Rhinolophus ferrumequinum: one gene and its partners. The protein of the gene in region 3 purifies or fractionates together with the protein of the main gene of each other region. This does not show direct contact. Links are inferred from orthologs where the notes say so. Each region holds a gene or a part of one and is shown on either strand. Other genes may lie near its edges.

What was found.
Region 1: the proteins of NFKBIB (region 3) and POLR1E purify together in Homo sapiens (affinity purification with mass spectrometry; 3 studies listed by BioGRID and IntAct, counting the BioPlex papers as one, with this or other methods). This does not show direct contact. The link is inferred for Rhinolophus ferrumequinum from reciprocal best matches to the Homo sapiens genes NFKBIB and POLR1E.
Region 2: the proteins of NFKBIB (region 3) and NFKB2 purify together in Homo sapiens (affinity purification with mass spectrometry; 4 studies listed by BioGRID and IntAct, counting the BioPlex papers as one, with this or other methods). This does not show direct contact. The link is inferred for Rhinolophus ferrumequinum from reciprocal best matches to the Homo sapiens genes NFKBIB and NFKB2.

Annotation. Positions count from the first base shown.
Region 1 is NC_046295.1:53,173,572-53,183,793, forward strand, and holds the start of POLR1E (DNA-directed RNA polymerase I subunit RPA49), read left to right. Parts: upstream 1-5,977; 5' UTR 5,978-6,089; coding exon 6,090-6,165; intron 6,166-6,770; coding exon 6,771-6,874; intron 6,875-8,149; coding exon 8,150-8,226; intron 8,227-9,537; coding exon 9,538-9,623; intron 9,624-10,222. UniProt on the Homo sapiens protein: Component of RNA polymerase I (Pol I), a DNA-dependent RNA polymerase which synthesizes ribosomal RNA precursors using the four ribonucleoside triphosphates as substrates.
Region 2 is NC_046299.1:22,619,141-22,628,872, reverse strand, and holds the start of NFKB2 (nuclear factor NF-kappa-B p100 subunit), read left to right. Parts: upstream 1-5,487; 5' UTR 5,488-5,608; intron 5,609-6,921; 5' UTR 6,922-6,989; coding exon 6,990-7,010; intron 7,011-7,291; coding exon 7,292-7,373; intron 7,374-7,489; coding exon 7,490-7,530; intron 7,531-7,790; coding exon 7,791-7,889; intron 7,890-7,968; coding exon 7,969-8,120; intron 8,121-8,382; coding exon 8,383-8,489; intron 8,490-8,577; coding exon 8,578-8,736; intron 8,737-9,036; coding exon 9,037-9,141; intron 9,142-9,269; coding exon 9,270-9,355; intron 9,356-9,436; coding exon 9,437-9,575; intron 9,576-9,732. UniProt on the Homo sapiens protein: NF-kappa-B is a pleiotropic transcription factor present in almost all cell types and is the endpoint of a series of signal transduction events that are initiated by a vast array of stimuli related to many biological processes such as inflammation, immunity, differentiation, cell growth, tumorigenesis and apoptosis.
Region 3 is NC_046298.1:38,185,392-38,195,117, reverse strand, and holds the start of NFKBIB (NF-kappa-B inhibitor beta), read right to left. Parts: upstream 4,886-9,726; 5' UTR 4,797-4,885; coding exon 4,618-4,796; intron 1-4,617. Other genes in the region: SIRT2 (NAD-dependent protein deacetylase sirtuin-2), read left to right, coding at 5,132-5,257, 9,120-9,168, 9,422-9,535. UniProt on the Homo sapiens protein: Inhibits NF-kappa-B by complexing with and trapping it in the cytoplasm.

The sequences.
Region 1 (10,222 bases), on a different chromosome or scaffold from region 3:
CAAAAGAAAAAATAGACAAATTGGACTTCGTGAAAATTTTTAAAATGTGCATCAAAAGACAATATCAACAGAATATAAAGGCAACCCATAGAATGAGAGAAAATAGTTGCAAATCATATATCTGATAAGGGATTAATATCCAGAATATTTAGAGAACTAAAACTCAACCAAAAAACAAATGTAGCTCCAAAATGAGCAAAGAACTTGAACAGGCATTTCCCCAAAGAGGATATACAAATGGCCCATTAGCATATGAAACATCTCTGATTATTAGGGAAACAAATCAAAACTACAATGAGATATCTCCTCACACCTGTTAAGGTGGCTACTTTCAAAAACATAAAGAATAAACAAGTGATGGTAAGGGTGTGGAGAAACTGGAACCCTTCCTTATGCCCTATTGGTAGGAATGTAAAATGGTACAGCTGCTATGGAAAATAGTATGGCGGTTCCTCAAAATTTTAAAAATGGAATTACCATATGATTCAGCAATTCCATTTCTGGGTATATACCCAAAGAATTGAAAGCAGCATTTCAAACAGATATTTGTATACCTATGTTCATATTAGCATTATTCATAATAGCTAAAATGTGGGAGCAACCCAAATGTCTACCAACAGATGAATGGATAAGCAAAATGTGATATATACATACAATGGAATATTATTCAGCCTTTAAAAGGAAGGAAACTGTGACATGCTATAATATGGGTGAAACTTGCGGACATTATGTTAAGTGAAATAAGCCAGCTAAAAGAAGACAAATACTGATGATTCCGCTAAGTAGGATTCCACTAATGTGAGGTACTTAGGGTAGTCAAAATTATAGAAACAGAAAGTAGAATGGTGGTTGCCAGAGGCTTGGGTGAGATGGAAATTGGAGTCATTATTTAATAGATATAGAGTTTCAGTTTCACATTTGAAAAGAGCTATGGAGATGGATGGTGGTGATGGTTTCACATTATGAATGTATTTAGTACTACCGAACTGTACACTTAAAATTGTTAAGATGGTAAATTTTATGTATATTTTGCCACAATAAATAAAACCCCAAAACTTGGTACTGGTATATGAACAGACAGACAATTCAGTGGATCAAAACAGAGGGTCCACAATAGACCTAAATATATAAGAGAATTTAATGTATGAAAAAGTTGTCATTTCAAAGCAATGGAAGAAATATAGATTAAATTTTGAGCCTGTGAAACTGGGAAGTATTTTGGAAAAAATATATTGGGTATCTATCTAACTTCTTACAACAAATTTATTATCAAATGAATGAAATATTAAAACCTTTTGAAACCAAACTATAAAAGAAGAAAACATGGAACATGCTGTCCATAGAAACCTGTTTTAAATATAAAAATACAAATAGGTTAAGAGTAAAAAGATAGAAAAAGATGTATCATGCAAACACCAATCATAAGAAAGCCAGAATAACTATTTGAAGATCAGGTAAGTGGACTTCTGGACAAGGAATGTTATGAGAGATAAGGAAGGACAATTCTAATGAGAAAAGGGTTAATTCATTAAGAAGAGATAATAAGCCTGAATGAGTATAATCCTAGTAACAAAGATTCAAAACAAATAAAGCAATGAAACTGACTGAACTGAGAATTTCTAAAGACTTAACAGTATCCACCCTTAAGAGTGTTCTTTTCCATTTTTGTGTTCCTCCTAGCAAGTAATTCCTGAGGCCAAGCATTGTGTATTTTTATTCTTATATCTTCCAAATTGTCTTGGGTAGTGTTAGAAGGCAGATCGCTTAAAAGATCTGAAAATTTTTGGAGTCAAATTTGACAGTGTATTAAGATTTAAAAAAAATGTTCATGCTCTTTGACTCATTAATTCAAATCCTAGGATCCCAACCAAAGAATTTATCCAAAAAAACCCAAACAAAGTTTTTATGCTTAAAAAGTTCATGTAATGTTGCATGTAACAGTGAGAAAATTGGGAATAGCCCAAGTGAGCAACTAAAGCATTGGATGTATAAACCCTGTGGCAACATTCAATGGACTATCGTGTGATTTGAGAAAATGCTTACAAGATTATTTAAAAATTTTTAAAAGGAGGATACACAATTGAATACAATAATGTATCAGTTATATAAACATATGCAGATATGCAGAGAGACAAATCTAGAAAGGAATAAAACAGAATGTTAACAATGTTTGCCTCTAGGTGGGGAAAGGATCATGGGTTACTATAATTGCATTCTTTATATTTTTCTGTATTTTTCCCAATATTGGACATCAAAATTGCTTTGATAATTATTGTAAATCTAAAAAATGTTGGGAAAAATAAAAAAATCTGAGTAAGCTAAATCTAACACGATTAAACTTAGGCCTCACATAAAGCTCTGAATCTTTGTTTTTTAAAAAAAATCAGGGATGGGGTTACCAGTTAGCTCAATTGGTTAGAGCGTGGTGCTAATAACACCAAGGTTGCTGGTTCAATGCCCGCATGGGCCAGTGTGTGCGCCCTCCTTAAAAAAATAAAAAAAATAAAAAATGCAGGGATAATGTGACTTAGCAGAAGCAAAATCAAGAATTTTGGTTTATCAACCCTAAACAACTTAACTGAACAGTGTAGATGCTAAGAATAAATTCACATATTGGTTTCATTAAGAGAGGCATGGCAAATAGCAGAAGGGAGGAGATGGGTCCTCTTTATTCTGTGTTACCCAGCCCAGAGTTGGAGTATTGATCCATGTGGTGCTCCAGTTTGAAAAAGATCCAGATGTACTAATGTATGTCCCAAAGTGGTGACCAGATGAAGACAGACCTAGGAACTCTGGTGTGTGAAATAGCTGAGGGGCTGGAAAGAGTTGCTGAGGAGCAAAGGAGCAGGTCAGTGGAAAGTATGGTCAGAGTAGTCAGGCTTTTGAAGGGCTCAGGGCAGAGGAGTTGGTCGTGTTCTGTGTGGCCCTAGAGAAGCAGAACTGGCACCACAGGTAGAAGCTACAGAAGGCAGCTTCAGCTCCATGTAAGGAAAAACCTAGCCAAGGTGAAAAGTCTGCCTTATAAGAAATGAGTCGTCCATGTCTATAGGTGTACAAACAGAATCTACATCAGAAATATGAAGGAAGAGAAAAACAGAATGGAGAACAGAAGAGTGAGACAAACACAGAAAAAGAAACAAAGGGATAAAAAATTGAGGCAGAGGCAGAAGAAAGGAAGAGAAAAGATGAAATAGAAGAAGAAACATTTTTGACAGTACACAATGAGTGGCTACAAACATACTGTGGGATCTTGTCTGCCTTTTCAGGCCTTCATTAGCGATATCTTGAAATGCCAGCAGATGGAGATATTACCCCAGGAAAGGAGGATTCTGCCTCATCCCTTACTTTCAAAATATATATCAAGTTTTCCTCTTCTGAAAAATGATGCTAAGAGACAACTCCAGAAGTCGATGAATTTCCAAACCAAATTTACAAACAAACATTTATGGTAAATTCTGCCCGTGATTACCCTGATTCGAATTTAGAAGAGGTCACTATAACTTTTTGTATTTTGGTCACTGACTGAGTGACCAAATATTGTCCTGTCCCACTTAATGTATATGTGTATTTATATGTATATGGTGTATATGTGTTTTGAATCATTGCGAAATAACTAAACAACATAGTCCCGGTCTCAACCATCCTGTCATTAACACTTTCCTTCCCCAGATAGAATCTCTGTCACTTTGAATTCTTGCCTGTGGTAATTCTGGGAGTCTTTGCTCTAACTCCATATGTGGTACTCTTGGCTCTTTCACCCAGCTATAAACAGCCAATTCTGAGGACTTGAACAGACTTTGTCTGACTGGTAAAGATGCACCTTGAAAGGGAAACAGTCTTGTACAAGAGTGCTTCCCAAGCATAAAGTGCACAGAAATCACCTAGGGATCTTGTTAAAAGTGCAGATTCTGATTCAGATGACTTGATAGGGCAGGAGATTCTGCACTGCTAACAAGTTCCCAGGTGATGCTGCTGGCCTGAGGACCACACTTTGAGAAGCAAGGTCATACAATATGTCCCTTTATCAGGAGGGGCCAGGACACTTCCCTCATGAACTACAATTGACTCCTTGTAGACCCTCCTGTCTTCTTTGTCACCCCTTAACTTTGATCTAACTGTTCATATTTCATTCAACCAGTCAACACATACAGAGAATCTACCATGTGTAAACACAATGCAAGTTCATTTTAACCAATATTATTAAGTATCTTGAGTTCCAGTCCCTATGCTAGGCTCCTAGGATTAGTGATGATTCAGAAACCAGCTTGATGGGGTTCCCACTGCCTAATCTGGGAAAGTTTGAACATAAAAATAAAAATAAATGATAGTAGCATATTCTAATCTACTGAATAAAGTAGGAACCCATAAATTCATACTGATATAATTAATGAGTGAATAAATCAGAAGTATGATGAACAGGATACGATTTACTTAGTCTCTAAGTACCTGCATACAAAATACTTATTAATTACAAAGGAGAAAGAATAACATTACAGTAGTAAAGCCTGATTGATACCACTTTAATTAAGTGATCAAAGTTAATATAAACAGTAATGGGACAAATTGAAATTGTGTGCCACCTGATAGGATACAGTTAGAACAGTCTCATGTTTGTGATATTCCTGCCAACAATGCATAACCTGAAACTAATCACTTGGAAACATTAGACAAACCGAGACTGAGCAACATTCTACAAAATAACTAGCCTGTAATCTTTTAAATTGTCAAATTATGAAAGTCAAAGTAGAGTAAGGAACTGTTCTATTAATAGGTTGAAGGAGACTAAAGAGCTATGACAGCTAAATGCAACATGTGAGTCTGGACAGGATCTTTTTGCTATAAAAATATTAAGATAGTTGGTGAACTTAAATGGAGTATGATGATTATATGGTAGTCACATATCAATATTAATTTCCTGATTTTGATGGCTGTATGTAGTTATTTAGGGAATGTCCCCTTCTAAGGAAATGCTATAGTCTTCAGGGGTGATGAGTCATCAGGTTGACAACTTACTCTGAAAGGTTCAGGTCAAAAACAAATTCTTTGCACTGTACTTGCAATGTTCCTGTAAGTTTGAGATTGGGAAAAGCATTACAAGTACTCAAAGGGCAGCTCAGTGTTAGGGTTATTCAAAATATCCTGGGTGTGTGTCTGGAGGAGATGAATCTTAAAGGAGATTGCAGAGCAGAGATGAGTCAATCCGAGTTCTTGCCCTGCAACAGTACTTGCCTTTGACAGGGCAAAAGGGGCCTCCTCCTGGGTCTATCCTTAGGGATTCTGCTTCGGCCCTTCTGCTTTGATAGCTGCCCATGTGGAGGGTTGAATCTTCAGGGACTATGGGACTTACCCATCAGATCCAACTTCCCGCCTTCTAGTCCACCGGAGAATCAATCCCTGTCCAAATGCTCTTGAGCCTGCTGAGCCTCTCCCAGGGTCCATCCTCCCTGGGTTGGTTGGACCACAGGTGTATGCACGCCTGGGCCTGAGGAATGATCAGGGCTAGAAGCTGTTTGCATGGTTGTGGACGAAACTTGGATTTAAGGACTGGATGTCCACGTGTGGATGGAGGCCCTAGAGACCAACTGCTCTCTTGCCAGCTGCCACATTTAGCTGGGGCTCAAGGAGTGCCTCTCAGAGAATTCTAAATTTGAAGTTGGCCTTTCAGGTCTGGTAGTATATATTTGTCACCATAGGGGAGATAGATCATACTCTACGTAGATCGTGCTGAGCAGGAAGAAAACCCACATGACTGTTAGGCAAAAGCAGCACGACTTTTAGGAACTTCGGACCCTTGTCCCACACAACCCTTCTTGCCCAGGCGGAGCGCTGAGCCAATCCGGTGGAGCGCCTCCGAGAGGCCGTCCAAGGATGAGGCGGGGCACAGTGTAGAGACCACGCCTCTGTGCGGAGAGGCGGGGCGACAGGCAGGCGGGGATTGGTGCGCCTCCGCGCTGGGGGCGGGAGCGCGGAAGGAGCGGTGTCTTGTGGGCCACGCCTGTTCCGGCCCGCTGTGCTACCTCGGAGTGTGTGGCGACCCGCCGGTGGCTCGTACTGTCTTAACTCCCGGGCTTGGCGGCCGTAGAGACGAGATGGCGGCGGAAGTGTTGTCGAGTGCGAAGTGGCTGTACTGTGGGGAGCCCGACGAGAGCCAGAGAGCTGTACTGGGTAAAGACTGCGGAGCTGGAACTGTTCCTCATAACTTCCGCTCCCGTTTCTGTACCTTTACAGCCCTCCCGCCCCCCCCCCCCCCCGCGCCGGACCCCTTTCCCAGCCGCGCCAAGAGCCCCTGCCACTCCCCACCACCCTCCTTTGTCCACCACTACTTGGAACTCGGCCAGGGCTCCTTTGTCATCCCACCACGTTTCTGCCGCTACCTCCCTCCCTGCTGAGGACGTCCTGTCACTTCCTCCCCAGGACTGTACCCAGGATCCTGTCATCCTCTCACTCCCGAGGTCTTAGTCCTGTTCCATTTCATTCTCTCCCCTGGGCAGGGATTCCATCGCTCTCTAGGTCTGGATGAGGCCTCCTCAGTTGGCCCCATCCCCCTAGTTATTCCTTACTGCCGCCGCCCCTCCCCAGGACCCCCTCACCTCCTCATCCTCTCTTCCCAAGTGGACCAGGACCTTCTTCAGTCCCACTTCAAGTCAGGACCTGGGCTTACTTGCCATGTTCATTTTTCCAATCACTCCCTCCCACTGACAGTCCAGTTCCTCCCACCATACCTTGTGGGTCCTTCTGATCTCATCCCGTCTGGGAATGTGATCTTACAGTCCAGTTCTCCAATGGGAAGCTGCGGGATCCAGGCAACATGCGCTTTACCTTGTACAAGAACAATGACTCCACAAACCCCAGGAAGAGGACCCAGCGGATCCTGGTAAGTGCTGCAGTGGCCAGTTGCCTCCACTCTGCAGGCCTCAGGACCCCTTGAGTGTGGGTCGATGTGGGAGGGAGTGAGAGGAGAAAAGGGGGAAATCGCAAATGAGCCTTTGAAGAATTCTTCTGAGCTCCAGCAGGTAGGGGTGTGGGGACAGGCTCCATTCAGTTCCATACTTTGGGTGAAGCGATAGCCTTTCATTCATTTGTTCATTCAACAGCATTTATTGAGCATCCACCTGGCCACACTCTGCGGGAGCTCGTATTCTAGAGCAGGGTTTCTTAACCTTGCTGCTATTGACATTTTGACCCAGATAATTCTTTCTTGTGGGGGCAGCCCTGTGCATCACAGGATGTTTAGCAGCTTCCCTAGCCTCCACTCACTAAATACCAGTAGTACCTCCTAGTTGTGACAACCTGAATGTCAGATATTACCAAATGTCCCCACGAGTGGGAATTCCCTGGGTTGAGAACTACTACTGCTCTAGAAAGGTCTTTGAGATTTTACCCAATCTCAAAGACAGAGAACATTGCAAGTTCAGTGCTTACAGAAACTTACAGAAACATTGCAAGTACAGTGCAGAGAACTCTAGAGAGTTGAGAGCTGGATGTGAGGGACACTCATACAAACAGACAAAGCTTAGGGCCGAGGGAGGGAGAGTACAAGGCACAGTGAGCTCCATCAACATCTCTGCTTGCTAGAGTGTCTCCCTGGGAGGGCACATGGAGCTGAGCTCGGAAGGATGGAGGAGGGTTTGACAGCTGAGGTTTTAGTATTCCAAGTGAAGAGAATAGTGAGGACAAACATTGTGAAGCAGTAAAGCTTGGCTGTGGTTGAGAAGTGAATCAGCCATTTCCATGGTCCTATGAGCATATAAGGAACAGTCATGAGAGAGGTGGGCAAAGAGGTTCAAGAAGGGTATGGACTGTGAACCCAGGAGGTTGCCTGCAGAATCAGTTTATTAATGCCTGTAAGTGTGGAGAGTCCAGGGTCTGTCTTCCAAGTTCTGCGGTGCAGCTTCCCCAAAAACTTTTCAGACCAGCTAGAAGCCTGCACAATCTGCAGCTTCCCTTTCAAAAGTCCTCTTGCCTTTCCCCCAGGGGCATCCCAGATTCACTTAGAGATAGTGAGGCTGGATGTCTCCTAGAGGCTCTGTAGTTCTGATCTTCTGTAGTTTGAATTCTAAAGCTTTTTGCAAATGTGGAAAAGGGAGATTAGATGCTTACTACCTTTCAACATTGGTTGCAATGGAGCTTTTCCCCCTGTGCATTTTAGGCAGCTGAAACAGACAGACTTTGCTACGTGGGAAACAATTTTGGGACTGGAGCCCTCAAATGCAACACTCTGTGCAGGTAGGGACAGGGGAAGGGACAGCTGGATGGGGAGGGGAGTGGTGGTAGCAGCCCTGGTACTGACTGCTGTTCTGTGTCTACTTTAGGGGATGTTTACTTTAGGGGAAGTGGGGGAAATCTGGAGAGGTTTACCAAGTCCCTGTGTTCCCAGAAGCAGGGGCCGTCACAGCAGCCTGTAGACATTCTTGAAAAGAAAGTTGACTTACATTTGTTGAATTTCCTGAAGAAAACCTCATTCGTTTGTAACATTCTTTAAAAAATTTTTTAAATTGGGACATATAACATTGTATTAGTTTCAGGTGTACAACATAATGATCAGATAGATATGTGTGTAATGAAATGGTCACCAAAATAAATCAGGTTAACATCCATCACCACACATAGTTACACATTTTTTTTTCTTGTAATGAGAACTTTTAAGATTTTCTCTCTTAGCAACTTTCAAATATACAATACAGTATTGTTAACTATAGTCACCATACAGCACATTACATTTCCAGGACTTAGCTTTAACTGTCTTGTTTCCAAAAGGCAACTGTCTTCACTAATATGGAGTGTATGATCAGTAGGCCAAAGCTTGCCAGAAGTTTGCTTTAGGAGTAACTACAAGGAAAGGATTTGGTAGTGTCAAAGGCTCCAGGGTTTCTATGCAGCTCTGCCTCTGATTGACTGTCTGACTTTGGGCAATTTTAACTTCACTGACCCCCGGTCTCCCCTGGGGTACGATGAAGATTGCCCAGCCAGAATGGTCTATAACTTTCAGGGGCTGGTATAACGCAGACAGTGTCCCTGTGATGGTATCCAACAGTGAACCACAAACAAGGCCCTTGCAGAGCCCCACTGGACCCCCCTGATAGAAGTCAGATTAAGGAGTGTGTGCTTAAAACTATTGGCTCTGCATCATCCCTTTATATAAAGATTTTCTAGTTCAGACTGATCTCCCCGTAGTTACCAGAGCTTTACTTGTCTTTGCCTCCATAAAATGTATGTGTGCAGTAAGTTCTAGTGTAATTCTAGATTCTGACATCCCAGAAGGGTTTCCCACTATAGCAGTGAGCCCAGATATGATCGCCTGCCAGAATCACCTGTCGCTTTCTTTTTTCAGAAACACATCATGAACCCTCTCACCCCAGCCCCACGCAGAGAATTGCTGCTCTAGGGGATTATTCTTACTCCAGAGCAAGTGATGCGTTCCTTAGGTGTATTGGGACAGAAAGAAGGTTGAGAACTTTTAAGCAGGAAAAAGGAAGTTGTATAAACAATACCTTTGGAATAATCCATTATCATTGATATTTTTCTTTCTTTATTCAGACACTTTGTGGGCATTTTGAACAAGACCTCTGGCCAAATGGAAGTATATGATGCTGAATTGTTCAACATGCAGCCACTGTTTTCAGGTAGGTCCCAGTCAAGGCTTACAGAAATGCTGCATATTTTAGGTTTAGGATGAGTTTTGGATTTGGATAACTAAAAACACTTTTGTGATTATTTTTAAAAGGGTGTCTTTCTGCCAGGTTTTTTTTTCATTTGAACAAGTCTTAAGAGTGTTTTTACTCAACACATATTTATTGATGACCTACTATGCTCCAGGCACAAATTAGGGGCTGTGGATGTAGCAAAACAGTCACAGATCCTGCTTCACGGTGTTTACAGACTTGAGATCAGAAACTAATGTTAATTAAAGCAAGTTGAGCAATGATCAGAGCAGAATATTGGAGGGCATGTCTGATACTCTTTTTCCATTGAGGGCCTTTCTTAATTCCTAACTGTTCTAGTTGGGAAGTAGAGGTTTTAGAATCTCTGGCAGGTACTGGAAGTTACTTATATGGTGGTCAGTTGCTTTCATGTTGATGCAAAGTCTCTACACTTTCTAATTTGGGAAGAGATTCACTTATTTTTCCCTAATCCAGTCAGAGAAGTTGCATTGCTTCTCTGCTAGAGTGGGATCTTCCAAAATGATAGATAAGAGGGTCAGACTCCAGGGGCTCCTGTTCCC
Region 2 (9,732 bases), on a different chromosome or scaffold from region 3:
CATGCAGCACCCAAGGCTTCCCTTTGCTCAGCCATGTGGATGTGGATACTCATGTGGATATTGCCAAAAGTCTGGAACTCTGTAAGTGCCTCCCTCAGGTGTATGAAAGGGCTCCTCGGAAATGAGAACAGCCTGATGTGGAAAAGTACTGACATGAAGCCTGCAACTCCCACACTAGTTTAACCTCTTCCCTTCCTTCTTCCCCGAGTAGTCCAGACCATGCCTAGTTTCTACCCTAACCAGAAGACTCGTGACCCTGACCCTGGGAAACTTAGGACTCTGACTACACTTCTAATCTGCACTTTTCTGTATGAGTGCAGAAAAGCCTGGATCTACACTCAGGTAGACACTAAGGCCTTGATGACAGCTATGATGTCTCTGTTCCACCATCTGAACAGAGCTCTGCCCCACAAGCTCTGCTTTAGAAGCTTCTATGTGTTTCCCTGTGGGGGAGAGAATGTTGGCTGCTGCAAAGAAGTCCGAAAACCATCCTATGAAAAAAGGAATATGGCAAGTCTGTGTTGGTCTGCAAATATTAGATGAATGAAGCTGGAGTGATTGCTAACTGATCTCCCTGCCGGTAGCAAAGAAAACCTGTGGGAAGTCTCATTCTGTTACAGAAAGATCAGCTGACATATACAAGGTATGATCAAACAATATGGTGAATGTTTAAATTACTACAGTAAAAGACACATTGCCATTAACTGGGGGGGGGTGGAAGAAGGAAAAAAAAGAAAAGCTACAAATGCCCCTTGACTCAAAATGGGGATATGTTCCAATAAACCCATCATAAGTTGAAAATATCATGAATCGAAAATGCATTTAATACACCTAGCCTACCAAACATCATAGTTTAGCCTAGCCTACCTTAAATGTACTCAGAACACTTACATTAGCTTATAGTTGGACAAAATCATCTAACACAATGAATACAATGTAGAGTGCTGGTTGTTTACCCTTATGATTGAGTGTCTGACGGGGGCTACAGCTTGCTGCTGCCCAGAATCACAAGAGAGTATCATACAGCAAGCGTATCGCTAGCCTGGGAAAAGATCAAAATTCAAAGCACAATTTCTACTGAAGGCGTATCACTTTCACATCACCGTAAAGTTGAAAAATCTTAAATTGAACTGTTGTAAGTCAGGGACTGTCTGTACATATCTTTTCTGTAGCTTCTCATGAGAAATAAAAGGTTGACCATCTGAAAAACAGGCTATTACCTAGTAAGCTAAGAATTCATTAGAAAACTGGAAAGAGATATACACAACCAAGAATAAATGTGAATTTTCTAAGCACATAAAACAATGATATTGGGAAGAATTAATTACTAGGTAAGTTTTGGGGGAGTTGAAAGTTGTACGTGGATTTTTGACTGGGGGGGCATCAGTGCCTCTAAACCCCTGCATTGTTCAGAGGTCAACTGTACAGAATTAGCTACAATGGACAGCATTGCTAGGAACAACAGAAAAATGTGGCTATTCCAGCTCTCAGTATATACCTTTGCTTAGGGCTCACCACTTAGGAGACAAATGGCCTTGAGGAAGCAGAACCCCCCCTCAGTTCCTGGGCTTCAGTTGAGAAGGAACTTTAGTTCAGGTAAACAGTTTATCACCCCCTCCTTGAAATACTCTTCACTGGTTTCTGAGATACTGGCCATGCCTTTTCAATTTCTTTTGTTTTCTCTTCCTCATCTCCACAGCCTCTGAACATGAGCACGCCTCAGGGCCCAGCTCTTGTCCTCAAGTCCTTTCTCTCTACTCAATTGCTGGGTAACATCCACAGTCAAGACTTTAAATACCATCCATTGCACTGACTTTATGTCCAACCACCCACATCATCTCCACTTGCATGCCTCATAGGCTCTCAAACATAACAAACTTCAAAGGAAAAATTCTTGATTACCCCCGCTAGGAATCTGCTCTTCTCCCAGTCTGCCCCATGTCACTAAAGGACAACTCAACCCCCTCTTTTCTCACATCCTACATCCAATTCCTCAGCAAGTAGTGTTGCTTTTATCTTTCAAATTTATGCAGAATGTGAATACTACGTCCCACCATCCTCACCTACTACCACCCAAGTCTAAGCCACTACTGGTCTACCGATCTCCCTCTTATATTCTAGTCCCATGATCTGTGTGCTGTCCACACAGCAGCCAAAATGGGCCTTTTTAAAACGTCATATCATTTTCACTCCATTGCTCAAGTGGCTTTCCATCTCATTCAGAATAAAATGCAAAGTTCTTACTTTATCCCACTTACCTAACCTTGCTTTTCTTCAAATATGCCAAACACATTCGTATCAGATCTTTACACTGCTAGTCCCTTCACCGGGAATGCTCTTCCCCCAGATATTCACACAACTCATTCCCTCAACTTTTTTCACGTCACTGTTCAAATGTTATCAGAAAAGCCTGCCCTGTCTGCTACGTATGAAACCCTTGTCACTCTTGACCCCCTCCCCTTGCCCACTTTTTCTCCATCATACTGATCACCCTCCCCTTGCCCACTTTTTCTCCATCATACTGATCACCAACTGACATACATTCATTTGACTTTTATCTGCAAACAAAGACACTGATTTCTAGAGTAGGCCCTCACTATTCATTGGTGAATGAAGACAGTGAATTTATGGTGTGTCTGCTTTGGGCCAGGTGCAGTGCTAGCCTTAGGTACAGAAACAGATAATCATTCGGTTGGAAATTAGTGAACAAACAATGGGTTTTCTAAGCCCAGATAGATGAGGCTATAGAAACTGACTATAAACTTTGAGTCAGTCAAAATTTCCAGGTCAACATCAAGAATTGTTGGAGTTGATTGATGGGTACATGGGGGTTTATTATACTCTTCTCTCCATTCTTTATATGTCTGAAATTTTCTATAATAAAGGCTTTTTTAAAATCTTCAGATAAATGAATTATAGTTCAGAATCTTATAACTAAAATAGCTAAACCTTAGGGGTGCTTTTAGAAACGTGGAAACTAGAAAAATTCATGCCAATTTGAGCTGGTGGTTTATGAGCATTTTAAAGGGACAGTCGTGATCAACGGTGATCAGCACAGGTTCACTAAGTTAGAATATTCCAAACTAAGCTCCCATTTTATTTATTTTTTCAATTACATTCTACATTCAACATTATATTAGTTTCATACGTACAGCATAGTGGTTAGACATTTATATAATTTACAAAGTGATCCCCCTGATTAGTCTAGTACCCATCTGACACCATACACAGTTATTACAATATTATTGACTCTATTCCCTATGCTGTACTTTACATCCCCATGACTATTATGTAACTACCAATTTGTACTTCTTAATCCCTTCACCTTTTTTACCTAGTCCCCCCACCCCTCTCCCATCTGGCAACCATCAGTTCTCTGTATCTATGAGTCTGTCTCTGTTTTGTTTTATTATTTATTCTGTTCTTTAGATTCCACATATAAGTGAGATCATATGGTATTTGTCTTTCTCTGTCTATTTCACTAAGCATAATACCCTCTAGATCCATCCATGTTATCACAAATGGTAATATTTCATTTTTTATGGCGAGTAATATTCCATTATACATATATATACCACATCTTTACCCAATCCTCTATCGAGGGGAATTAGGTTGCTTCCATATTTTAGCTATTATAAATAGCACTGCAGTGAACATAGGTGTGCATGTATCTTTTCAAATTAGTGTTTTGGATTTCATCAGATAAATACCCAGAAGTAGAATTGCTGGGTCATGAAGTAATTCTATTTTTAATTTTTTAAGGAACCTCCTCTCTGTTTCCCACAATGGCTGCACCAATTTGCAATCCCACTAACAGTGTACGAGGGTTCCCTTTTCTCCACATCCTCACCAACATTTGTTGGTGGATTTATTGATGATGGCCATTCTGACAGGTGTGAGGTGATAGCTCATTGTGGTTTTAAATTGCATTTCTCTGATGATTAGTGACTTTGAGCATCTTTTCATGTCTGTTGGCCATTTGTACTCGTATGTTCTCTGGAGAAACGTCTATGCAGGTCCTCTGCCCATTTTAAAATTTAACCTTCCATTTTAATTTAAGGGTTAAGGAACTGATTTACCAGGGGAATGTCGTAGACAGTATCCCTGGATTTTAGCAAATTGTTTGATGGTATCTTATGATAATCACTTGAAAGGCCCACAGTTGGGTGGAAAGGCCTGCTTTATTTTATATGAATTTCTGGGGAAAGCTTCATCCCAGAGCTAACAGACTGGGTTTGAATTCTCACTCTGTCCCTTTCTAGCTAGAGGTGTTACTTCACCTCTCTGAGACTTAATTACTTCATCAGTAAAGAAAGGTAATATTTACCTTCTAGGGTTGTTGGGAGGAAGAACAAGAACTTACACTGAAGTACCTTAACATAGTACCTGGCACATTCCATTTGTGGGCAAGATGAAGAGGAAGGGGAAGTAATAGGAAATAGCCCAAATCAAGGGCCATAATAGTCTCCCTTTATGCATAGCTAGTGCAGGCCTGTAAGTCCATTATTTAGAAGGTCAGGAGGCAGTTGCAGGAAAGATCCGAAACAACAAACAGTCTGTGTTCCACTGTGAGCCCAATGTAGGACTCCAGGAATGGAGATTACTCATGGCACCTTCTAAAGAGAAATTCTACCAACCAGAGATGTCCGGCCTGGGAGTCAGTACTTTGTGAAAGTGACCTTGCTGCCACTAGAAGTGTGAGGCATACTTTGGGAACTATATAAAAGGCAATTTCCTACATCAGAGGAAGTTTGAACTATTAAGATTGTGGATGTCTTTTTAACTCTTAACATTCCAAATCTCCGTGATGGATGAGCACAGCCTGAGTCTCTCAGATAAACACCTTATTTCCCTCCCAGCACGGAGCTCCTGAGCTTAGGTCTTAAAATCTGGCCCTCAGTAAACCTGCCGTTGATAGAATAAGTTTAGGTCCAGATGGTCTTTTCCAGGGGACAAAGAGTTAGAGACTGAGTAAAAGGATTACGCGGTCTCCTTGCGGCTCCAAAGGGGGGCCGCCAGATGGCACCCTGGGACCGACTGAAAGATCAGTTTCCTTCCTCTTCCCCTAACTTCCCGGCAACGGGGCCCCGCTCCGGGCGGGGGACAGGAGGACTTGGGCCGGTCGGTCAGCTTCCCCCTGGGGTTCCCCAATTCCAGAGGTGGCCAAGCGTTAGGCGCAGCGTAAGCCGAGTAGCAGCGGGGCTGCCAGCCGTCTGAGGCAGGCCTGAGTGGGTGAGGAGACTGGAGTCGGGGCGTCGACAGGGGGATGGTGCTCGCTCAGCGGATCCCGCCTGGGACTGGTCCCCCCACCAGAGCCCACGCCTGGCTGACCGTCATACCCACTCCCGATTCCCCGCGCTGCGCGAATATTTGCCCCCTAAGGGGAGCGCCTGAGTCGCTCCGGATTGGTTGTGCGCGTCGGGAGTTAAACTTTCAGCCAATGAAAAAGGGCATGGGGCGTGACGCACGGCAACGTCACGGGAATTCCCCCCTCCCGGGGGCGGTAAAGGGGCTTTCCCCACTAGAGCGCTGGTGGCTGGAGAGGTGTCGCGACCCGTCCCAGGTGGGTCGGGCCGGGAGCTAAGCCGGAACCGGAGCCGCCGCCGCGGTGAGTGGCCGGGTTCAGACCCCTGGGTGGCCAGGACTCTGGGAAGGGCGGGAGGAGTGTGTCCTAAACTGAGGGAGACTCAGAGCTGGAGAAAGCATATGCACACACACAGAGAGCACGCACACGAACAAGACACCCGGATACACATCGACATCCTTGTACAAAACACGCGGACTTGTACGTAAGCCGGCGAGTGTACAGTCCATCACTCAAACTCGCACACAAATGCACACGCAAACACGCTCACCCGTGCACAGGTGAGCCTGGACCCATACCCTTCACGCACAAACTCAAATATATGCTCACCTGCGCCTCTACATATCAAGATATGCTCAGACATGTGTACACACTGAGACTTTTAAGGACACTCACCTGTACACAGACATGCTCAGCTGCACACGCATGTTGACGCCATGCACACACAACACGCACGCAAGCACATGAGCTGACTCACACTTGTATACCTGTGATGGAGACACACAAGTATTACAAACGGCTTTGGGACTGGGGCAGGGGCGTGGGCACCCAAAACTCATGTGGCGTGGGAGTCAACGGCTATCGAGGTGTTTCGAGGAGAGGGAACAGAGGAACCCATCCCAAGGAGGAGACACCTTTCCTCCCCTAGCTCCGCGGCCCAAGAGACTGGTTCTCGGGGCAGAACCCCTGGGCCCCTCGCTGGGAAGAGCCCCCGCCTACAGGCCTTCGGGGAGGCGGCCTTCCTACAGCAGGAATGTCCCCCCAAAAGCCCCCGGGGTGAATCAGCCGTGGCCTCCCTCAGGGTAGAAAATCCCAAGGTTACTCCAGGATGGGGGAGGTGAAAGGGGCGGGAGGTAGGACTGGCCCGGGGCTTGGAGCCTCTCCCAGCCGTGAAAGACCTTCCGGTCCCCGACCCCTGCTCTGCAGTGAGGAGAGGGGCCCAACCCTCACGGGGGCTTCGCTAGGTCTGGTTGCCCCTCTGCCCACAGACAAGCTGCGAGTGTCCACAGGCCAGCGCCGCCAACCTGGCGCCCCTCCCGCCGCGGGGGCGTGGCCAGTGGCGTCATTTCCAGGCCCGCCCCCTCCGGCCCCGCCTCCCCCCTGGTATTTTCGGGACTTTCCTAAGCTGTTCTAACTTTCCTGCCCCTTCCCCGGCCCGGCCCAGCCCAGCTCCCGATCTCGCGCTCCACCGGATCTCGTCCGCCACACCCGGACGGGTGGCTGGAGGAGATCCGACCCTCCTCCAAATCTGGGCCCCCCTCTCCTCTCTACTCCGGTCCTGATCTGTCTTTCCCGCCCCCCTGCCACTTCCCCCCACCCCCCAACCCCGACCCAAGGCGGGCGACTGAAACTGGGAAAGAGAACCCGGCCGGAGTCGCCACACAGTCGGGCCTAGCCCAGAGACATGGAGAGTTGCTACGACCCAGTGAGTCACTCCGCCTGGCCCCAAACCCGGCTGGCTGACCCCCTGTGTTTGTCTGGTTGTCTGCGGGTCTGTCGGAGTCCCCTCTGCTCCCCTACACCTGTAGTACCTTCACTTTATCTCAGCCTGCCTGTTGGTCTGTCTGCAAAACTGCTTCCAATGGGACCTCTCTTATGGACCTGGGGAGGAGAGGGGGTGATTACTGAGGGCTTAGAGAGCTGGGAGGTGGAGGACTCTGGGGGTGGCTCCGAATCAGCTGCCATCCCATTCTGTCTCCAAACCAGGATCTGGATGGCATCATTGAATACGATGATTTCAAATTCAACCCATCCATTGTGGAGCCCAAGGAGCCAGCCCTAGACACAGGTTGATAAGTCCTCTGACCTCCCCTGGTCTTAGAGGGAGGGGGAGGGAGGAGTATGTGCCCTCTGCCTTGGGGATGGGTCAGAGAGCCGGGATCAGCAAGGCCCCTCTGTCCCCAGCTGATGGACCATACCTGGTGATTGTGGAACAGCCTAAGCAGGTGAGTGAGGTGGAAGGGATGGTGTGGGATGGCTTCAGCTTTGAGGGCAGATGGGGTAGTTGTAGCTGGGTGGCCCTGGGGAGGGTCACTGACCACAGAAGCCACGTTGCGTTGGGATGGTTGTCCGCTGCTGAATCAGTAGTGTGGTTGTGGTTCAGGACAGGCACTACCAGTCATTATGGTCACTGCTGGCAGGGGGTATGGCTGGCTGGGGGGGGGGGCCTCCTGGTCACAATGTCACTCTGCCCTGGAATCTTCAGCGAGGCTTCCGATTTCGATATGGCTGTGAAGGCCCCTCCCATGGAGGACTGCCAGGTGCCTCTAGTGAGAAGGGCCGGAAAACGTATCCCACTGTCAAGGTGAGCAAGGGTGGTGCTTGAGGGTGGGCTAGTGGACAGTGTGTCCAGGGGCATTACTGACAGCCCTCACCCCTCCTAGATCTGTAACTACGAGGGACCAGCCAAGATCGAGGTGGACCTGGTAACGCACAGTGACCCACCTCGTGCTCACGCCCACAGCCTGGTGGGCAAGCAGTGCTCGGAACTGGGGGTCTGCGCCGTGTCTGTGGGGCCCAAGGACATGACTGCCCAGTAGGTGTCCCCCACCCCGGCCCCCCCAGTGGTATGCCCCCTCATTGCCTGCCAGTCCTAGGCCCCAGCCCACCTCTCTGAACTTAGCGTCTGACCAAGGGGAAAGACTTAGGTTGGCCCTAGAACCCAAGGCTCCAAGTAAAAACCAGAAAAGCTTCCTAGAGGAAGTAGGGCTGTGCTGAGCCTGGGCAGTGGGGTGGGGGGGGTGCCTCAGGAAGAAAGAACTGTCTGCAAGATCCCTGACTCCCCCTCCCTCACCCAGATTTAACAACCTGGGTGTCCTGCATGTGACCAAGAAGAACATGATGGAGATCATGATACAAAAACTTCAGAGGCAGCGACTCCGCTCCAGGCCTCAGGGCCTTACCGGTATGGCGGGGAGGAAGGGGGCCATGGGAGGTGTTCTTGGAAGGAATAGAGGAGGAGGTGTCCAAGGGTCACGTGTGTCACCACCCAGAGGCTGAACGTCGGGAGCTGGAGCAGGAGGCCAAGGAGCTGAAGAAGGTGATGGATCTGAGCATTGTGCGACTGCGCTTTTCTGCCTTCCTTCGAGCCAGTGATGGCTCCTTCTCCCTGCCCCTGAAACCTGTTATCTCCCAGCCCATCCACGACAGCAGTGAGTATCCTGACTACCTGGAAGGCAAGGCCTGGGTGTCAGAAAGAGCATGGGAGGCAACCTCAAGCTGTGGAGTCAAAAAGGCCTGAGTTTGAACTTTGCCCCACCATGTATGAGCTCTGTGATCTTGAGCAAGTCATTTCCCGTCTCTTGAGCATGGCTTCCGTCTTGGGTAAATGAAGATACTAGAGGTTCCTGTATCTCGTGGTGCTGTTCAGATAATGACACAAAGCACCTGGTTCCACAAATAGGGCCTTGACTCCTACATCATCTCAAATAATTGATATCTCTCCCCCATAGAGTCTCCTGGGGCCTCGAACCTGAAGATTTCCCGAATGGACAAGACAGCCGGCTCTGTGCGGGGTGGAGACGAGGTTTATCTACTTTGTGACAAGGTGCAGAAAGGTGAGGCTGGAGCCCAAGCTGGGAGCTAGGGACACTGAGTGTAAAGATTGAGGGCCAGGGAAACTTCAGGACAAATGGCCCTGGAGATTCCACTAGGAGCTGTGGCCACGTTTCAATTTTCCCTGTAGATGACATTGAGGTTCGGTTCTATGAGGATGATGAGAATGGATGGCAGGCCTTTGGGGACTTCTCTCCCACAGATGTTCATAAACAGGTACCTTAGAGCTGGGGCCAGGCCTGGGGGCCCATCTAGGCCAAGGCCTCGGTGACACCTTACATCTTCCTTCTGCCCCAGTATGCCATTGTGTTCAGGACGCCACCCTATCACAAGATGAAGATCGAGCGTCCTGTAACCGTTTTCCTGCAACTGAAACGCAAGCGTGGAGGGGATGTCTCTGATTCCAAACAGTTCACCTATTACCCGCTGGTGGAAGGTGGAGCTGGGCTGAAGATCCTAGGGTGGCTGGAGTGTGGGAGCTGGGTGCGAGGGACCCAAGAATTAGATCAGGGGACCTGTGAGTCAAGTTAGGAGTGGGGAGGGTCTCAGGAAGAAGTGGTCCTAGGAGCCAGCCTGAGGGCTTTGGGAGAAAG
Region 3 (9,726 bases):
AACTACTTACGTGTAATTGAACTGCGTCCTAGAACAATACTCAAGAATATTTATAGGAACACATCACTAGCCAGCTGAACAAGGTAAAATCCACATCTGGCATCTAACCTAAGATTATCAGGCATGCAAAGAAGCAGGAAAACATGACACATAATGAGAATAATTAATCAACTGAAATTGACCCAGATGTTAGAATTAGCAAACAAGAATGTTAAAACAATCCATTATAACTGTATCTCCTACATTCCAAAAGTTAAGTAGAGACATGGATGATAAAAGGAAAAGACTCCAACTGAACTCCTAGAGATAAAAACTATAGCATCCAGGAGTTGGCCGGTTAGCTGAGGTGGTGGGAGTGTGGTGCTGACAACACCAAGGTTGGCGGTTCGATCCCCGCATGGGCCACTCTGAGCTGTGCCCTCCTTAAAACAAACAAACAAACAAACAAAAACTATAGCATCTGAAATGAAAACTACACCGGATGGGATTAGCAACAGATTATACATTGCAAGAGAAAAGATTAATGAACTTGAAGACTTTACAACAGAAACTCTCCAGAATGAAACACAAAGAGACTATTCAAAAATGAAAAGAACATCACTAAGTTGTGGGACAATGTCCCTAAAGGAGGAGGGGGAGAGAAAAAAAAATATTTGAAGAAATAATGTCTGAAATATTCTCCAAACTTGCTGAAAACTCTAAACCCACAGATCCAAGAAGCTGAATGACTGCCAAGAACAAGAAATATAAAGAAAACTTCACGAAGGCCCATCATAAAAGAATCTGTCCAAAATCAATGATAAAGACCCAAAATCTTAACAGCAGCCATAGAAAAAGATATCTTAAGCAGAAAGGACTAGAAATAAGGATGACAGCATATTTTGCCTAGGGAATAATGCAAAAAACTGCAATGGAGCAACATTGTAAACGTACTCAAAGCTAATGACTATCAAAGTTGAATGCTTTAACACAACATAAATAGCTTTCAAAAATGAAGACAAGGGCCAGCCAGGTGGCTCAGGTGGTTGGCGAGCCATGCTCCTAACGCCAAGGTTGTGTGCTGCCAGGAGCATGTGTGTCGCCAGCGTGAGGGGCTGGCAACCTGCGTGAGTGGCTGGTGGGAGCTGCTGTGAGGGTCGACCGATTACCTGCGACCGACCGCCTCAGCCGGGGGGAGCACAAGGCTCATATACCAGCATGGGTCAGGGAGCTGTGTCCTACACAACTAGACTGAGAAACAATGGCTTGAACCGGAGTGGGGGCGGGGAGGCAGAAAAAAGGGGGGTGGAAATGAAGACAAAATACAGACATTTTCAGATACACAAAACCTGAAAGAACTCATTACTAGCACCCACACCATAAGAAATGATAAAGGAAACCTGCAAGCAAAAGGAAAATGACATCACATGGGATTATGGAGCTATAAAAAGGATTAGAGAACACTGAAAGCAGTAACACTATAGGTAAAATAGGTAAATATATACATTTTTTTCTTGTTATGTTTCTTTAAAAGATATATTTTTAAATATAATTGACTGTTTAAACAAAAATAATAACAATGTATGGTGGCGTTTATAACACATGTAAGTAAAATGTATGGCCACAATAGCTTTGGCCAGGAGGGGACAAATGGAAATAGTAGTCTAAGGTTCTTTTACTCCATGCAAAGTGGCATAACATCACTCAAGGGTTAAAGCTCCACACTACAAATTCTTTTTTTTTTAATTTTTATTGCATAACAATGTGATTTTTCCAGGACCCATCAGCTCCAAATCAAGTTGTCCTTCAATCTAGTTGTGGAGGGTGCAGCTCAGCTCCAAGTCCAGTTGCAGTTTTCAATCTAGTTGCAGGGGGTGCAGCCCACCATCCCATGTGGGAATCGAACCGGCAACCTTGTTGTTAAGAGCTCGTACTCTAACCAACTGAACTAACCGGCTGCTCCCCACACTATAAATTCTAAAGCGGGGGTCAGCAAACATTTTCTGTAAAGGGCCAGATAAATATGTCAGGCTTTGTGGATCATGTGTTCTCTCTTTTATCTACTCAGTTCTGCTGTGGTGATGTGGAAGCAGCCACTGGCAACATGGAAACGAATGATTGGGGCTATATTCCAACAGAATTTTATTTATGGAGTCTGAAATTGGAATGTCATATAATTTTCACTGGCTACAAAATATTCTTCTTTTTTTTGTTTTCAACCATTTAAAAATGTGAGAACCATTCCTAACTCACAGCTACACAAAAGCAGGTAAGTGGCTGGATTTTGCCTCGAGACCAGAGTTTGCCATCCCTGTCTTGCAGAGAAACCACTAAAATAACAAAACATAAAGTTAAAGCTAACAAGCCAACAAAAGAAATATAATGGGACAACATGTACTTGTTCCAAAAGAAGGGAGAAAAAGAAAAGGGAAACAAAGAAGAGATAAGTAGAAAACCAGTAACAATATGATAAACTCAAACCTAACCATATCAATAATTAAATGCAAATTGTCTAAACACTCTAATTAAAAGGTAGAAATTGTCAGATTGACCAAATAAGTAAAACCCAACTATATGTGCCTACAAGAAACACTCTTTAAATATAAATATTAAAAAAGAGGTTAAAAATAAAAGGTGGAGTAAGCTATATCATATCATGTTAACACCAATCAGTCAAAAGAAAGCAGTAGGAAGTATTTTAATATCAAAGTAGATTTCAGAGCAAGTAATATTACCAGAGATAGAGAAGGCTGTTTCATAATGATAAAGAGGTCAATGAATCAAGAGGACAGAATAATTCTAAACATTTGTGCCCCTGATAATGGAGTGTCAAATAATATGCAGCAAAACCTGATAAAACTACAAGGAGGAATAGACAAATACATAATTCTTATTGGAGATTTCAATACCCGTCTCTAAATAATTGATAGAACGAGTAGACAGCAATCGTCAGCAAAGCTATAGGGGACTGGAACACTATAAATCAACATGACCTCTAATTGACAGCTAGAGAACACTACACCCAACAACATCAGAATATACATTCTTTTCAAGTGCACACACAATATTTTGGACCAGTAAACAACTCTTAATAAATGTAAAAACTTTCAAGTCATACAAAGTTATGTTCTAGGTCCACAATGGAATTAAATTAAAAATCAATCAAAGAAAAGTATCTGGGAAGTCTTCCAAATATCTGGAAACTAACATACTTCTAAAAAATCCACTGGCCAAAGAAGAAATCAGAAGAGAAAGTATAAAGTATGCTGAATTGAATGAAAATAAAAACACAACATGTCTGAATTTGTGAAACACCGCTAAAGCAATACGCGGGGAAATTTATAGCACACAACACCTATAATAGAAAAGAAGAAAGGTCTCAAATCAATGACCTCAGCTTCCACATTAAGACATTAGCAAAAGAAGAATTAAACCCAAAGTAAGCAGAAGAAAGAAAATAATGGAAGTCAGAACAGAGATCAATAAGAGAGAGAGAGAGAGAGAAAGAGAGAGAGAGAGAGAGACTTAGAGAATTAATGAAGCCAAGTGGGTTCTTTGAGATCAATGTTTATTGAGTGCCACCTATGGGTCAGGCACTGTTCAGTCACTGGGGATACAGCAGAAAACAACACACAAAAACCCCAGGTACAATCCCTCACTTGGGCCTTTCCAACATTGTTCTTTTACCCAGAGTGGTTTCCCCAGTAATCTGGTTGTCTCGTTTTCCTGCTTGATTTTTCTCCAAAGAACTTACTATCTTCTGGCCTACCTTTTCCTGTCTTTCTTTTTTCTTTTTCTGGTTTTCTTTGTTTCTTCCTGTCTTCCTTCTTATTTTGTGTCTTTTTCTTTACTTTCTTTTTATTCCTGCCTTTTCTTTGTTCTTTCTTTTTCTATTTTCTCCCCCTCTTTCCTGCCTTCTCTCTCCCTTTTTTCCTTCTTTTCTTTTTTCCCCTCCATCCCTGCCTTCCTTCCTTCCTCCTATCTTTCTGTCAGTCTTTCTGTCTATATACCCCTCTCCCCCAAATGTACACTCTACAGGGCATAAGGTGTAAATTTTTGTCTGTTCACCGTCTTATCACCAGCACCTGAAACAGGGCTTGGAATATGGTAGTGTTCCACAAATATTTGTTTAACAGATGAATCCCTGTTACCATGGAGCTTACATTTTCTCTTTGAATATGAGATGTAAAGATTAGTGCACAGAAGATGGGATCTTAAAGTCAAAGACCAAGTATTAATTTTGGAAATCAAGGTCTAACGCTCCTAAATCAGGAGCTAAGGATCAAAGACCATATTTGGAGAGGTTAAAGGTCAGAAGGAGATTGCTTGAGCTACAGTTCTAATAAAGGTCTCAGAACTGGGGTCAGGAAAACCAAATAGAGTTTTGGGATCAATGGATAGGAATGTGGAACTCTGAGATCCAGAGTTCAAGAAAGGAGGTCAGAAATTATTGCGTTGGGATCAAAATTGGATAGTAGATTGGTGTTTTTAAAGGTTAGGACCTGTGGGTTACATACAGATCAATAAGTCAAGCATCAGAAGTCAGATTTAGGAGAGGTTGGGAAGCCGAGATAGAGACTAATAGGAAATCAGATGTCGTATCCTAGAGCCCGGTTTGGCAGCCTAAGTTTCACTCACGTGTCCCCATCCTCAGTGACGTAGCCGAAGACTAGGGGTGCCCACGACAGCCCCGGGCCCAGCTCCGGACCCAGTCCTGGTCCTCCCGGGGCCGCTGCGTCGGGACCCAGAGAGCCCAAACCGCTGTCGCACCATTCGTCGGCATCCGCAGCTTTCCCCAAGCACGCGACCCCGGCCATGGCCCCCGAAGCCTCAGGGGCCCCCGCGGCCGCCCGCCTGTCTCTGGGCTCTCCCTGGAGCACTGGCGCTTCCGCCCTGCGGGGAATTCCCCAACACTCCCCCCTGGCTCATCCAATCAGAGTGGGCTAAATAGCTCTAGCCCCGCCCCATACCACACCGTGACCAATCAGAGTATTCAGATGTACTCTCTCGACCCGTTCTCATATTTTCCGGGCGCCCTTTACCAACATGGCTGCCGGCGCTGGGCATTTCGGGACTCGTAGTCCGGCTCGCCTGTAGCTTTACCTAAGAGGGGCGCGCGCCGAGGTTGTGAGAAAGCGTGTATGCGTCCTCGATGACTTCTGGGAGTTGTAGTTCTCTACCCTATCTCTGCTCCTCCTGTTTCCGGTGCCGTCACGGGACCGAGCAGTCGGTGACAGCCCCGAGGGCCCCCGCCCCGCGCCCATGGCCGAGCCGGACCGTGAGTCGGGGGCTTCGGTGGGAGGGTCGGGCCTAGCCGGGGCCTGGCTGAGGGCTGCAGGCCCCGGGACCCGAGGGCGGGCGTGGTGGGCAGGAAATTGGGGCTGCCTGGGGAGGAGTGGGGTTCGGGGGGCCGTTCCTAAGTGATCCATATTGCTAGGTTTGTGGGTTTCTGGGTCTCGAGGTTTTAAGGGTTCGTTTGCCATGTCTCCCAAGTTACTAACGATCGCATGTTTCTCGCACCTGGGTTGCCAAAGACCCTCGTTGCTAAGGACTTAGGTTGCCGCGGTCCCGGTTGCTAAGGGTACCCGATTGTTAGGGGGTACTGTAGAATGCTAGGGGACCCCTGGTGTCCCTTCCTATCTCTTCCCTCTAGTTCCTGTGCCTCTCTTAAACATACCATCCCCAGCGCACCTCGTCTCCCACATCCACCTCCAGTCGGAGTATCTCTTCTCTCTTTCTTTCTAAACTTATCTCTGCTTGTAAACCTAACCCTCCCTGCAAACACGCTCACATACTATTACTATGTCCTTCCTAACTCCTCCTAAGGTTTCCTCTATACCATATATCCTTTACTTTCTCCTTCCTCTCCTAATCCTTCCTGTCCCAGCTCCTTTGCCCCTCACTAACCACCTCTCTTCCCGGCACTCTCCACTCTGCTTTTCCCCATCCCCTTCTTCCTTTTACTCCATTTTTACCATTACCCTCTACCGCAGTATAACTAGGTTGGTGGGTCTTCTTGCCCGGCCCCAACCCCTGCTTTGAAGCCCTTCGTAACCCCTTAACGATTCCCTCCACTATAACCACATGTGCTCCCCCTCCTCCCCCAGCCTCTGACCCTCTGGAGACCCAGGCAGGGAAGGTGCAGGAGGCTCAGGTGAGATGAGGGAAGGGTGGAGGGAAGGAGAGAGATGCACTTGTTCCCACATCCCACTCCCCTGGGGGGAGGGGACAGAGGGGAGAGTTACCCCAGGGCCCTCAGCTCACTACCCCAACCCCTTGCCCCACCTCCCAGTTCAGCCTCCTGAGGAATTGTGGATTCAGGGGACTGTCAGAGAAGGGGGTGCAGCCTCAGCCCCAGGCCTGCCCTCCTGAACTTTCCTCTTTCCTTGCCCGCCCTCTCCCTTCTGAACCTTATTTATGCTGGTCCTGGAGGAGTCAGACATCCAATTTAGTCCCTGAACTCACAGATCTCATGGACAAGTGACTAGAAAATGACCCTATGGGGTGATTGTGTAGGTAGCTCAGGGCACTGTGGGAGCCCAGAGATTCCCGCCAGTCCCTCCCCTGGAGGAATCTACAGGCTGGTCTAGGGGTCAGATTGAAGTAGAGACACATCGTAGTATGTGCAGAGCAACTTCGAATTTTCTTAGGCAAAGTGAGAAATGGTGTCCCATGCAGAGGGTACAGCTCGTGCAAAGACCTGGGAGCATGGAAGAATGTGATGTGTGCAGTAGGCACTGGCTGGGGTGGTCAGCTAATTATATGCATGGTTAGCATTTATTGAGTACTTAACTTCAGCCGGGTACTCTGCTTGGTACTTTATGGGCATCATCTCATTTCATCTTCCCAGCATCCCTGTGGGGGTCAAGTCCTATTGTGGTCATTTTATCGATGAGGAATTTGAGGCAGAGTTCTTAAGTATCCTGTCCTCTGTCCCTTGGCTAGAAGAGCAGAGAAAGGCTTACAACTCACAGCACCCAGCACACTGCTTTCCAGATGCTTCGGAGAGGGGTAGACAGGCTGCCAGACAGAGGCCTGAAGGCCCTGCCAGTACCTCCAGCTCCCGCTTAGGCCGAGTTGCTCCCGTGTGTTGGGCAGGGCCCTTGAGTCTATCCACAGAGCCTCACTGTCTGTGGCCTGAAAGAATGCCAGCCCCCCACAGCCGCGAGATCGCAGTTCAGATGTAGGCAGTGCAGAAGCTGTGGTTAAAGCACCTCACAGATAGATTCACAGCAGAGGGTATAAGAGCTTCCTTTCAGGCCAGGGCTTCTCCCTTGCCTGGCTCCCAAAGCAGGACCACTGTCAGAGAAAAGGTTTAATGTTAAAAAGGATCCTCAGTCCCAACGAGAGAGACTTGAGGATGTAAATTGCAGCATTGTCCATATGGGGCAAAACTGGAAACCGCCCAAGTGGCTGTCCATAGATGGGTGAAATGAACTATGGGGCCTCCTTACAATGCACCACTAAGCAGCTGCTTAAAAGAATGAGGTGGGTCTATAATATCTTGTTCTGCAGAAGATGCACGGTGCTGCATTGTGCTATGGTATGACCCCTTTCTGGAAAAATACTGAGTTTTACATGCAGAGAAACAATCTGAAGTAATTACCATTGTACTGTTAATAGTGGTTATCTCAACGGGGTACTGGCAGTGGGAATTATGAGGCAGGTGCCCCAAGTTGTACATTGTCTAATAGTCAGACATTTTACAAAGCTTATACAATCTAAAGAGCGATAAAAAATTTTCAATGTTTGGGAGGGAGGTTCCGATTCAAAAAGACTTGGAACCAGATAGTGTGTGATGAGGGAGAGGAGCTGTTGGAGGAGTTTTAAGCAGGAGAGTGAGTGGGTGAGAATTGCGTTTACACGGGATCCATTGCAGGGCCCAGCCCTAGCCTAGTGTACAGCAGGTATCCATTCATTCAGTGGTGGATACTTCTGGAGCTCCTGCCAGGTGTCAGACCCTATTCTTGGTGCTGGACATTCAGTGGCGAACACGAAAAACACCTGCATTCGTGGAGCTGACCTCATGGTGGACCCTGTAGATGTCCGTGATCATGTGATTAGATTGGAGACACCAAAGAGAAGGGCCTGGACCGTGGAGGGGAGTGGGCCGTCCCAGACAGGCCATCATGCGGAGGGTCATGGAGTAGATTGCAGGTGGAGACTAAGGCTGGCAGCCTAGGGAGGAGGCTGGGACAAGGGCCTCTGTGGGGAGAGGACAGACTGGACCAGGTAGAGCCCTGGGGAGGGGACAAATATGGTGGGAGGGCAGGGGAAGGAGGTGGGAGGCCACACTGGATGGGGCCCAGGTGGAGGAGCAAGCTTGGGGGAGATGCTGAGGCCAGGTTGGGACATAGTGGGAGTGAGGGGCCTGAAACCCCTTAGGGGAAAGCCTCCAGGAGGCCATGGGAACCCTGCATCAGGGGACAGAGAGGTGGCATCATCACTGACATGGATGAGGCAGCTCGCCCAGGGAAGGTGGAGAGACAAAGCAGGGAGAGCCCTAGACAGAGTTCCAAGACCTGCAATTTGGGAGCCTGGCCAATGCGCAGAGCTGATAAAGGAGATGGAGAGGTTGCAAAGGCTATCTGGGGCTTCCAGACGCAGGGTGAGGACCGAGGTGTTTTCACCGGCATTATTCCATGATTATGAAGTGCCTTTGGTGAGGAGGGCTGCGGGGTGCTGCGAAGGGGCAGCAGCCTACACTACAGGGGACAAGGAGAGATACAGGGGGAGGATAGGGACGTGGCATATGAAATAGCAACAGCTAACGCTTCCTGAGCTCTTACCCCGCGGGGTGCTGTCCTGAGCACCTCACACAGTAACTCATTTCATCTCACAACAGTCTCCTGAGGGGAACCCTCTGAGCTCCATCTCCAAGAGGAGGCGCCCCGGAGACTCAGAAAAATGAAATCACTCGCATGAGATTATGCTCCTTGGGAGTGACAGGCCAGGTCCCCTGCACAGGCAGCCTGTCCCAGAGCCCCCACACTGCCCCCCAGAGCTGTTCCTCCATTGCCCTGCACTTCCTCAGGCCCACCTCCCAGCCAGGGCCTTTTTCCCAAACTGGGTTGTCACCCCACCCCCTACTCCCTAACCTCACTTCTTGGGCCTGGCCACCCCACCTCCACCCCTTCCAGGACTCAGATTCAGACACTGAGGGAGGAGCAGCTGGCGGAGAAGCGGAGAGTGAGTATCTTCCTTGGGAGGCCGGTTCTGGTGGGGGGCCGTGTAGGGCAGGGGTCTGGGTGACATGCCTCACCTCATTCAAGGTATGTAATAATGGTTCTGTGCCAGCACCTAGAAGCCCCTGGCTGGGCTAGGCATGGAGCCTTGAGTTGTGGGAAGGCAGAGGATCCCTGGGCTGGGGCAGGGGCACTCAGGGCCTCTGTGCACCCCGGCTGACACCCACTCAGCCGCCCCCTCTCTTCTTTTTGGCCAGTGGACTTCCTGCGGAATTTGTTCTCCCAGACGCTGGGCCTGGGCACCCAGAAGGAGCGTCTGTTGGACGACCTCTCCCTGGAAGGGGTGGCCCGCTACATGCTGAGCGAGCGCTGTAAGTCCCCCACCTGCCTTGGGCCACTTACCCCCCTCCTGGCCCCAAGTGATTTCTCAGCTCCAGCCACTTGAACCATTCACGCCTTTTTTCTGCAAGTAACAAGAAACCCAGCTCAAACTGACTTAAGCCAGAAAAAAGGAATGTGTTGACCCCCTAACTGAAATCCAGCTTTCAGCATGGCTGGGTCC